3 linked regions of the Ovis aries genome follow. The protein of the gene in region 3 purifies or fractionates together with the protein of the main gene of each other region. This does not show direct contact. Links are inferred from orthologs where the notes say so. Each region holds a gene or a part of one and is shown on either strand. Other genes may lie near its edges. The genes, in order: SHKBP1, VANGL2 and PTPN3.

The links.
Region 1: the proteins of PTPN3 (region 3) and SHKBP1 purify together in Homo sapiens (affinity purification with mass spectrometry; 4 studies listed by BioGRID and IntAct, with this or other methods). This does not show direct contact. The link is inferred for Ovis aries from reciprocal best matches to the Homo sapiens genes PTPN3 and SHKBP1.
Region 2: the proteins of PTPN3 (region 3) and VANGL2 purify together in Homo sapiens (affinity purification with mass spectrometry; 3 studies listed by BioGRID and IntAct, with this or other methods). This does not show direct contact. The link is inferred for Ovis aries from reciprocal best matches to the Homo sapiens genes PTPN3 and VANGL2.

What each region holds. Positions count from the first base shown.
Region 1 is NC_056067.1:49,290,769-49,294,514, forward strand, and holds the start of SHKBP1 (SH3KBP1-binding protein 1), read left to right. Parts: upstream 1-1,401; 5' UTR 1,402-1,413; coding exon 1,414-1,499; intron 1,500-1,723; coding exon 1,724-1,777; intron 1,778-1,890; coding exon 1,891-1,936; intron 1,937-2,042; coding exon 2,043-2,116; intron 2,117-2,418; coding exon 2,419-2,477; intron 2,478-2,705; coding exon 2,706-2,786; intron 2,787-3,746. Other genes in the region: SPTBN4 (spectrin beta chain, non-erythrocytic 4), read left to right, coding at 1-129.
Region 2 is NC_056054.1:111,431,621-111,435,266, forward strand, and holds part of VANGL2 (vang-like protein 2), read left to right. Parts: intron 1-1,689; 5' UTR 1,690-1,879; coding exon 1,880-1,950; intron 1,951-2,088; coding exon 2,089-2,209; intron 2,210-3,646. UniProt on the Homo sapiens protein: Involved in the control of early morphogenesis and patterning of both axial midline structures and the development of neural plate. Plays a role in the regulation of planar cell polarity, particularly in the orientation of stereociliary bundles in the cochlea.
Region 3 is NC_056055.1:13,920,871-13,924,516, forward strand, and holds part of PTPN3 (tyrosine-protein phosphatase non-receptor type 3), read left to right. Parts: intron 1-97; coding exon 98-284; intron 285-456; coding exon 457-531; intron 532-1,811; coding exon 1,812-1,868; intron 1,869-2,933; coding exon 2,934-3,090; intron 3,091-3,646.

The sequences.
Region 1 (3,746 bases), on a different chromosome or scaffold from region 3:
GCCGCCTCGGTTGGTGAACACGCCGAAATCGCCCGCTGGGGCCAGACACAACCCACCACGTCGTCCACAGACGAGGGCAACCCCAAGCGGGAGGCAGGGGAGCGCAGGGCCAGCGGGCGCCGGAAGTGACTTCCCACCTTCTCGACCCTCCTCCCTGCACCGTGGGCACAAAGACACTTTCTCTTCCGCAGGGGCGGGAGCCCCTAGTCCCACCAACACTGAGGACGCGCCAAAACTGGCACTGGAAAGGAGGGGACTTCTCCTGCACCCCAAGAAGTGGTGGGGGGATTGCTGCCCCTATAGCCATATCTCGGCCCCTTCCCGCTCGCCACCCCCACCCCAGGTGCTGGGGCTCTATTATTTTTATGCAATAACTGAGCTTGGGGGGGGCGGGGGACGGGTAAGGGGCCAGCTGAGCCTAGCCCCCTGCCCCACGAAGCTGGGGTGGTAGGGGCGATAATTCCCGTCCCCCCCTCCGCCCTAGGGACGGGCATGGGGGCGCTGGTGAGGTCCCCTGGACCATCCAGGGTGCTAGGGGGTGGGGAGGGGACGCCCCCTCCCCGCCTTTACCTCACTTCCAATGCTGCCTTGATCTCTGTCTGGGAAGGAGGCGTGAAAGGGGCCCTAGCCTCCGCACTCCGCTGTCTCAGAGCCATGCGGTAATTCCTTAGTTTATTTTTGCAAAACGTCGACCTCCTCGTCCCCCGCCCCGCATCCGCGAAGGCTTTTAATGGGAGGGGCGTCAAAGCTCAAAACTGTCTTCCTCTCTCCTCCCCCCTCCAGTTGTAAATACGACGTCGTGAGGGGAGGGGCGAGGGGAAGCCCTCCCCCCTGCATGCTTCTGGCTGGAGCACCTCCCTGGGGAGCGGGGGAACTGGGTTGTGGGCAGCCCCCATGGCCACCTGGAGAAGCCGCTGGGGTCCAGGGGTGAGGAGAGGTGTGGCAGGCGCACACTCTATGTACCTATAATAAATCTTTTGGCTTTGACGGTCTATGCTTGTTTCTTCGCGTTTCATGGGCTGCGCCCAGGAGGATTGGGTGGAGCGACAGGAAGAAACTGTTTTACGGAGGACATTTAGATGTCCCTCTTGGTGTGGACTAGTTTCGAGGTCTAAACTCGTGTTCCCGATTAAGCACCTAGATGCCACTCCTAAATTGGGAATCCCAGAGGGATGAGGAACGGTCTGCTATCCGTGGTAACTAAACTTCCCCAAAGGAGCCGCTCGGTCCGCCCCGTCCAGGACAGGAAAGGCGGGACCCTTTAAGGAGGCGGAGAAGAGAATCGCGATGGGCGAGCGTTTTGCCCAATCGTCAGCTGCTCTGGGAGTCTGAAGCCCAATGAGCACGCGGTGGGGGCGGGGGCGGGATGCACACCCGGAAGCGGGTGCAGGCCGGCCGGCTAGCCGGGGGGCCATGGCGGCCGCGGCCCCTGCAGTCGACGGGGTCCCGGGTCGAGGGCCTCCCGGAGAGGTGATTCATCTGAATGTGGGAGGCAAGAGGTGAGTGTAAGAGTTTCTTGAGTCATTACTCTCGGGGCCGGGGACCCGGCTGGGAATACCCGCCTCTCCCGCGGGGGGAATTCTGTCCATCAAGGATTGCTCCGCCCCCTGCTGGAGGCGCGGGAACCTGGATGGATGCTGGGGGAGGGAGGGAAGCTTACCCGGTGCTGAGACTGGGGGCCGCATTCTTCATCGTCTCGCGTCCGCTCACCGTCCCCGCACAGATTCAGTACCTCTCGCCAGACTCTCACCTGGATCCCAGACTCCTTCTTCTCCAGGTGATTGGGGAAGCGAGTTTAGAGTTGGGGACGGGAGGGTTGGGTATGGGGAGACCTCATCTCCCCGTCACACACACTCCGGCCCGTGACACCTCTGCGTCCCCTCCCTGCAGTCTTCTGAGCGGACGCATCTCGACACTGAAAGATGAGACCGGAGCCGTGAGTAGAGCGAGAGCTGAAACGGGGCGGCTGGTAGGAGGAGGGACAGGAGCCCCACTCAGCCCCGCTCTTGACCCCATCTATTCTCTGCCTCCCTTCCCCGCAGATCTTCATTGACAGGGACCCCACCGTCTTCGCTCCCATCCTCAACTTCCTGCGCACCAAAGAGTTGGACCCTAGGTGGGCATAGAAGATAATGGGGAGTCCCCCACATCTTTACCCCTTGAGAAGTCTCTTCTTCCCCTCAGAATGTTCACTTAAGTTCTTTAGAATATCCCTCCCCAACACACACACACACACACACACACACACACACACACACACGTTTTCACCACCCAGATCATTTCTTCTTTAGAATCTTGATACCATCAACATTTGCTACCTCTTGAGATTCTCTGTGCAGTTTCAGAATCTTGGTCCTCAGAATTCTCTGCCCACTCCCACTCCCCAGACCCTGACACCTAGTCAATTCTACTACCCAGGGGTGTCCACGGTTCCAGTCTCCTCCATGAAGCCCAGTTCTATGGGCTGACTCCTCTGGGTAAGTGGGCCCACCCCCTTAGCATCCTTATAGAAAACTAGCCCTCTAATGATACCCTCTCTTTCTTCTCACTTCTGAAAGAAGGTGGGTTAGAGCTGAGGGCACTGGATTTGGTGTCCTGAGTCTCAGGGGAGTGGTGGTATTCTGTGGAGAAGGAGATAGGGGAGGGGAAAAGGTTCTGCCTCAGCCTTCTCCAAGTCCCAGCCTGTGTGAGTCCTTCTGCCTCAGTTCGTCGTCTGCAGCTTCTTGAAGAGTTGGATCGATCTTCTTGTGGAAACGTCCTCTTTACTGGTTACCTGCCTCCACCAGGTGGGAACTACTAAGGAATACAGGGTGGGAATGGAGGGTGGGGGGGTTAAAGACTACATTTCCCATAAGGCTGCAGCCCTTGCCTGCCTCAGCTGCGATCCCTGAGACACTATGGTAGTTGTAGTTCTACATCAGATGCTTTGACTAATGCTTGGTGAGGAAGTAGGAAACTGCATTTCCAGTGAGGCAATGGGCCAATCTAGTCCCCTTGAGGCTCAAGCTTGCCTTGGAGCCTGATGGAAGTTGTAGTCCAGTTTTGACTTCCTTGTAGAGAGTCTTAGGGAGAACTGGTGTCCTTTGCATGGAGGGGAGAAATATTAAAGGAGAGTTATTGACTGTAATCCCCAAGGAGCAGCCAGTCCACTGGTCATGAAAAATATGCCCCAGTGGTTACTGGGAACTATAGTCTACTATGCTTTGCTGATTGGTAGAAGGTACAGAGTTGGGGAGTTCAGTTTATGACTTTATTTCCCTAACTTCAGTCAGTACCTGTCACCTTCATGAAGTTTGCCAAGTATGAAGACCTACTGTTCTCTTAGTTTGTTCCTGTATTTTTTTATTATTATTTTAAATAGAAGCTTTATATCACTGCTTTTTATGCCATAAATAAGTGGATGTGAAATAATCCTTAAACATAACAGTGTAAGTAAACTCTGGGTAGATGCTGTTGCCTGCCAAGGGAACAGGCTTCCATTTCTTAAAAGGAAAGATTAACAAATATTGAAGGGGTATCATTATCATCGCAGCCCCAAACTGATTCTTTGTGATGGGCTCAAAGGACCTGATAAGGGAACAGCTCACTGTGATTCAGTGTCACTTAATGCCATGTCTCTGCACCACCAAAAATCTTTTCTCTAGGAGACGATGCTACCTGTGTGGGAAAATCAGTATCTGGCATGTTTTAAGTGTTTACTCTGTGACAGTTTTTACGGTTATTACAATGATGTTGCTCTGCCCCTT
Region 2 (3,646 bases), on a different chromosome or scaffold from region 3:
TGTCTGGAGACCTAAAACCCTTCCCAGGCTTCCCACTGAATTAACCTAGCTCTTCCTGCAACCTGGGGCTTCCCCGGTGGCTCAGCAGTGAAGGATCCGCCTGCAGTGCAGGAGTCACAGGAGATGCGAGTTCGATCCCTGGATCGGGAAGATGCCCTGGAGAAGGGCATGGCAACCCACTCCAGTATTCTTGCCTGGAGACTTCCATGGACAGAGGAGCCTGGTGGACTGTGGTCCATGGGGTCGAAAAGAGTCTGACATGACTGAGCAACTTAGTATGCGTGCACTCTTTCCCTCACCCCTGGGGTTTGCAATGCCCCGACCCCTGGCCACCTCTTCAGCCTCACCTTCCATTGCCTCTCCCTCCCTCATACCCAGTTGGCTCCACTGGGCCACCCAACTCTCTGCTGCCTTTGGCCTTCCTGTGGGTGGCTGTCTGCTCTGCAGGCTTTCCCCTCCACTCTACCTGCTTAGACCCTGTGCTCCTTCAGGCTTGGTTGTTGTTTTCTCAGATTTTCCAGAACCACTCAGTTTAAAGGAGCCCTGCTCCCCAGACTTGTCTGTCATACTGTCCTTGTCCTTCTCCTTTCATCTCTGATGTAGTTAGTTGTTTCTATGCACCTGTTTACATGCACCAACCCTGCTGGGCTGTGAATCTGGGGTTTCTTCCCCACTGTGCTCAGGGCTTGGCAGGGGATATGGTTTCCTGATGGGGCCTAAGCAAGAGGTGACGACTCAGTGAGCAAAGGTGGGGAATAACTGCTCAGTGCCCAGGGATGTACCTTTGGGTGCTGGGAGTGAAGGGGGCTTTTGTGAAGGGCTCGGGGCTGGGTTGTGAGGTGGTAAACAGGGTTGGGTGAGAGTTAGGGAGGATGGGAGACGGAGAGGTCCTCTCCTCTGCTGAACCAGAAGGTGAAAGTGTGGAAGAAAGACACTGCCCCTAGGTCCACAGTGATCAGAGAAGCTCTTGACATTGCCTGGTTCAGGATGTCAGGTTTTTAGAGAATGGTTTCTGCTTACCTTCCCCGCCTGCCCCTCAGCACGTGATCTGTAGTTTACATTCTTCACCCTGGCCATGTGAGCACATTTGTGCACGCACACAAGTCAGGCCACTCACAGACACACACAGACACACACACACACAGCCTTAAGGGGAGCAGCCAGCTTAACCTTACAGTAACTGTGGGTATGTTTGACATACATGCCGGGGAGACAATGCCAAGAGAAGCAGCCATAGGCAGCCCCCTGTGGGCACTCAGGCATTAAGAATGGGAGGAGATGAGAGGCCTGGGGTAGCCTCTGGACTGAAGCTAGCTGCCTCCTGCTGCGGTCTACACTGGGCCAGCCAGCTGGCCTGGCCAGAACCCACGTTCTCCAGTGTTCCTGGCCGAGAATAGGAAAGTGCTGCCCAGCTCTTGCCTGCAGGGAGTCCAGAGTTGGGTCATTCTGGGAGGCCTTTGCTGTCATCTTCCCCCACCCCAGGGCACAGTCTGGGGCTGCTCTTTCTAGGAGGCAGGGCGGGAGGAACTGGGCCCACTGGACAGAGCAGGAGCCTGGGGGGCACATTCTCAGGTGGGAGCGAGGCTCCCCTGAGCTTCCTGCGGCTGCTTCCTGGGCACGGCCTCCCTCTCTGCTCTGACCCCACAGAGAGCTCCAGCCCCACCCCAACCAGCTGCTTCCTTTCCTCAGGAGCGCCGCTTGATTTTCTCTGAGACAAGCCCACCTGTCCAGCAAAATAGAGTCCCTCAGGGTGACGGTTGATTTCCTGAAGGTGCCCCTTGGCCTGAAGAAGCCGGTGCTGAAGGAGGTGGCAGGGGGGCCCCCCAGAAGGCCCCAGCCTGTGGCCCTGGAGCGCTACAAGGCGCGGCGTTCGGACGCCATGGACACCGAGTCCCAGTACTCGGGCTATTCCTACAAGTCTGGCCACTCCCGCAGCTCCCGCAAGCACAGGTGGGTGTGCATGAGAGCTGACGCAGGTGGGGGAGCGGGGTGGGAGCATCACAGGGCTGGCGGGCTGAAGCTGGCCGCTGAGAAGCACGGGTCCTCCCCTTGACCTTCCGTGCCCGTTCCCCTGGCCTTCTGCTGCAGGGACCGCCGGGACCGACACCGCTCTAAGAGCCGAGACGGGAGCCGGGGGGACAAGTCGGTGACGATCCAGGCTCCAGGGGAGCCCCTGCTGGACAATGAGTCCACGAGAGGGGATGAGCGGGTGAGCGTCAGGGGCTGAGGTCTGGACCAGGTGTTTCCACTCGGATCTCTGGAGAAGCTGGAGGTCCATCCAAAAGGGGAAGGGACTGGAAACCTGGCCTCTTTCGACAGAGAAAGGAGGGCATTTTGGGTCATACCCCTGTTAAGGGTTCCAAGGTAGGACTTCATCTTAGTAGAATTCTGTAGAATCTTGGTAGAATTCAGAGATCCCTTTGGAAGCAGCAGCCTCCTTCATCTTTTATGGCCCATGTGACCTGGGCTGTGTAATGGGAATTGCCTCTTCTCTGGGCTCATGCCAGCCAGTTAGGGGGCTGGGAGTGTGGAGTGGGAGGACGGTGGTGGGTGGGGGCTGGAGGTGTGGCAGCCCCAAGTTTCCCCTGGGCACTCTGGTGCCCTCTGGTGTCTGACTGTAGAATAGCACCTGCTGGTCAGAGGGAGGAGTTGATGGAGAAAGGGGAGGAAGTGAGCTTGGGGAGATGGGAGGGGGTTTTCGGCTGGTTGCTCCTGCTCTGGCCTCTCTGGCCCTCTGTGTGCCCCTGGCAGGGAGGGCAGGAGGCAGCACCCAGTGCTAGAAGAGGGAAGAGGCAGGATTTGGGATGACTGAGGTGGTCTATGTATCATTCCTCCTCCTTAGGAGCATCTTAGGGAGCTGGAGATCTCACGAGGCATGAGACTCTGGGGATTCCTGGGGCTTGGAAGCCCCAGGAAGTACCTAAGGGAAATGATCTTTCTCCCTCTTTCCCAATCCCGTCTTCTCCCAGAGACCTGGCCTCCTGAGTTCTTGAAGTGAGCCTGATCAGCTCTTCTGTTGGGGCGTGTGCCCAGGCTCTTGAAACTTGGAGCACACGTGTAGGTATAGTGGTTGTGGTTACTCACGGGTTTCCTGAGCTGAGAAGGCAGTGCCTCCACTTTCTGCCTTCCGTTCAGACTCCCCTTTCCTTGGGAAATGCCCATGTGGTGGGCATTCAGATGGGCCAGAAGAGTCAGCCAGGCAGACCAGCGACCCGGAGTGGCCCTGAGTCTGCACTGTGTCTCGCATGCCCTGCGCTAGTCTCTCACCTCCCCATCCCCTCTCGGTGTCCTCTCCTCTGCCCCATGCTGCCTTGGTCAGCTCATTCCCTTAACCAGATCCTCGAGTGGCCCTCCATGCTCCGAGGACAGGTACCTACTGCCTACCTGGCCTTGGACTTCCCAGGTAATGCTAGCGGTGAAGAACCCACCTGCCAATGCAGGAGATGTAAGAGACTCAGGTTTGATCCCTAGGTTGGGAAGATTCCCCGAAGGAGGGCATGGCAACCCATTCTAGTAATCTTGCCTGGAGAACCCCATGGACAGAGGAGCCTGATGGGCTACAGTCCATAGGGTCGCAAAGAGCTGGACACGGCTGAAGCACCTTAGCACAGCACAGCATGGTTCATCCTGGCCTTGCAAGTGGGTT
Region 3 (3,646 bases):
ACAGCCGTGAGATGCCAGGCTCTAACAGTCAGTATTGTGTGCTCTGATAAAATATTAATCCAGTTATTAAAATATCTCCTCCTCCCCCACGATGAAGGAGTATATCCGAGAACAGCCCAGCACAAAGCTGCCTGACCCAGAAGTCATCCAGTTCTGTGTCTCCATCTTCAAATGCTCCAGGCTCCTGCTTCCGGGATGGCGTCGATCAGCAGTTCCTAGAGGACTTCCACAGGGTGACCGAAGGGGGCTCCACCGAGGACTCCAGCCAGTACTACTGTGACAAGGTGGGGGGCGGGGCGGCTCAGGTGCTGTGGCCAAAGCAGGGCCAAGCCGGCCGGGCTTCCCGTGTGGGGCCGCCTCTTAGGCAGTTAAGTAGTTAGGACTCAAAGGAAATAGGTTATCACCAATCACTGGAGAAAGAAGTAACGTGATTGACGATTTTCTGACATTTCCCAGAACGATGGTGACGGCTACTTAGTCTTGATCCGCATCACGCCGGATGAAGATGGGAAATTTGGATTTAATCTAAAGGTACGTTGTGTGTAATTTATAAGGACGTGTGATGCTCTGAAGCACTCTTCAGATGACTTTTAAACTTCCATTACAAATGTGCCATAGACCTAAGGCTGTGTAGGAAAATTGGCTTGGCCTTCAGAATTGGGAGCTTTTCAGTGGGGCCATAGGAGTTGCCTCATACCAAGTGCCTACTCTACATACTTGTTTATATCCCCTAATTGAGGATATAAAGAGGATCGTTCATATCCCCATATTGAGTCCTTTTATTAAGTGGTGAAATTGGTATTTTGAAACATTTTATAGATGTACACTAAGGGGCTTCCCAGGTGGTGCTAGTGGTAAAGAATCCTCCTGCCAATGCAGGAGACCCAAGAGATGCAGGTTCGATTCCTGGGTCAGGAATCCCCTGGAGGAGGAAATGGCAACCCACTCCAGTACTCCTGCCTGGAGAATCCCATGCATAGAGGAGCCTGGTGAGCATCAGTCCATGGGGTTGCAAAGAGTTGGACACGACTGACTGAACACAGGCTCGGAGAGATGGGAACCCCTCAGCACTGCTAAGAGAGAGCAGGGATTCAGGTGCAGGGCCATAACCTCCTCTGTTTCCCTCTAGGCCGGCTCTGCACACTATGACCTATGGGCCCAATCCCATCTGTTCTTACAAATAAAGCTTTATTGGAACACAGACACCCCATTCATTTACAAATGGGTTATATCTCCTTTGACATTTCGATGGCAGAGGTGCTAGAGTGCCCTCTGTCCCATAAAGCCACAAAAAGTATTATCTGGCCCTTCACAGAAAAGGTTTATCAGCCTTAGAGCAGAGTGAGAGCAGGTGATCTTCGCTGCCCACCCTGCAACTGCCATCATACACTCCTTTCTGATAGCCCAGCAGCCCCGCTGACAGCCAGTTCTCAGAGGTCAAAAGCCCTCACAGTCTGAAACCTTTCCACAGCTCCTCCCCTCCACCGTAAACTCCTCTCCCAGCAGTGCTTATGGGCTGGGCTTTTAGAGTCTTTTTCCTGAGGATGTTTGCATTTTTTGAAAGGAGCCTGCTTCTTCCAAGTGCATCTTTAGTCCATGGATGGTGGGGATGGCAGTGGGAGGCTTCTGAGTGGTCTTCTGGTTGACCCACTAGACCCATAGCCTCTGGAACCTTATCATCCTAAAAGGTACCAACCCTTGGGAGTAGAATATATTTAAGTGAAAGTTGAGCCCTCCCTTTGTGTCAGAGATATCTGCATGTCTTTGGTGCTCGGAACAACTCAAGTGGTTTTTAATGTATATGTTTACAGGGAGGAGTGGATCAAAAGATGCCTCTTGTGGTGTCAAGAATAAACCCAGAGTCACCTGTAAGTAGACGTATTCTGTAATTTCCCAAGTCCGTTTTCCCATAAATGTAACAGATTTCTATTTCTGTGTCCTGTTTCTTTTTTACCGGCAGCATAGAGTGTGTGTCAATGCATGCATAGAGATAGGAAGAAAGAATTTTCCAGGGCCTTGCTGCCTAGTGTGGCCCCCAAGGCTGCAGCACCAGCATCCCTTGGGAAGCTTACTAGAAATGCAGATTCTCGTACCCCACCCCAGACCATCTGGACCAGAATCTGCATTTTTAACCAGATCCCCAGGTGATGGGGAGGCACATTAAAGTGTAGAAGTCCTGCTCACAAGAAGGCAACTGGGGCGTAGCGTTTGCTGTTCTACAAGCTCTAAGTGGGCTCGTGGGTCTTGTGCCTCTTCCCCCATCCCACCCCCACCCCACCCCATCCTCAGCCCTCTGCCTGGGCCTCTAAGCATCTAGGAGATGATTTTTTTTTAAGCATTGAGCACCAAAGAGTCCCTGTACCTCCTAAGAAAGGGGCCCATTTGGAGGTTTTACTCTTAAGAAGTCTTTAAGCTTGTGCTTTACTTTTTCTTACTGTTTATGGCCTCTATGAATTAAGAAGCCTATTGATCAGTTACATGGCTTCTTGTCCATAACGGTTCGTGCCTTGGGGGTTATGCTTGCAAAGGCTTTCTCCATCACAAGATAGCTATATACTTGCTTTTAGCTGACAAATCATTTTCTACCAAAACACCTAGAAAAACAGAAGATAGAGGTATTAGAGTCATTCTGACATTACAGTAATAAGTGAAGCTTGACTGCCATAGAGAAATGGCCTCAGTACTTTTTTTCACTTTATTCTGAAATGTTTTCATTCGTAATGTAGGTTCTGAGCAGCACTTCGTTAAAATCCCACCACTAGCCACCATGTCAACATAGCAGTGGCTGTAATAAAAATAAAGGCGGTAATGCCAGGGGGAGAAAAGCAGAACTTGGTCGCGGTCTCCAGTGTCCAGGCTCAGAAAGCATCAGGTTCTCCCCTTGAGGATTATGTTATGGTAACGAAAGAAACTCACTCTTCCCCTGCATGCAGGCAGACACCTGCATTCCTAAGCTGAACGAAGGGGATCAAATCGTGCTAATCAACGGCCGGGACATCTCAGAACACACCCATGACCAAGTGGTGATGTTCATCAAAGCCAGCCGGGAATCGCACACGCGGGAGCTGGCCCTGGTGATCAGGAGGAAAGGTAACAGCCCCTGAGGGAGAGGAGCCTTAGTGAAGAGGGCCTTCTCGGGCCCGCTCCTTGGTTTCGAGATGTTGTGCTCATAGCCAGCATCGGTAAATCAAGAGCTTTCCCCTGTTGGGAAACAACTGCTGGCTGACTTCTCACTTGAAAAATGTGGAGATTTGGCCCCACAGGGCCCCATCCCTCATGACCAGTCCTCTGCAGGTAGGCAGCACCCCTGCCCCCATTTTCAATACAAGACATGACATTCCTCTCCCCTGTTCCTCGCAGGTCCATCTCAGCCCCCTCCACGCACTCCTCTTAGCTTCCTGCCTCTGCCTTCATTTGCATTTTCAACCCTTTCTCAAAGGATCGGGTTATATTTCATTCATGTGCATTTGGTTTCGTTGGAGAGGCTTTAGCAGAATGGGGCCGGAGCCTGGCTGCCTCAAGGCTGTTCTAACTCTGCCTCCTCCTGGCTTCCAGGACCTTGAGCAGATTTCTTACCCAGTCTGTGTTTCAGTTTCCTCTAATGTAAAATGAGGATGACATAGTCGCTACCTCCCGGGATCCCTGT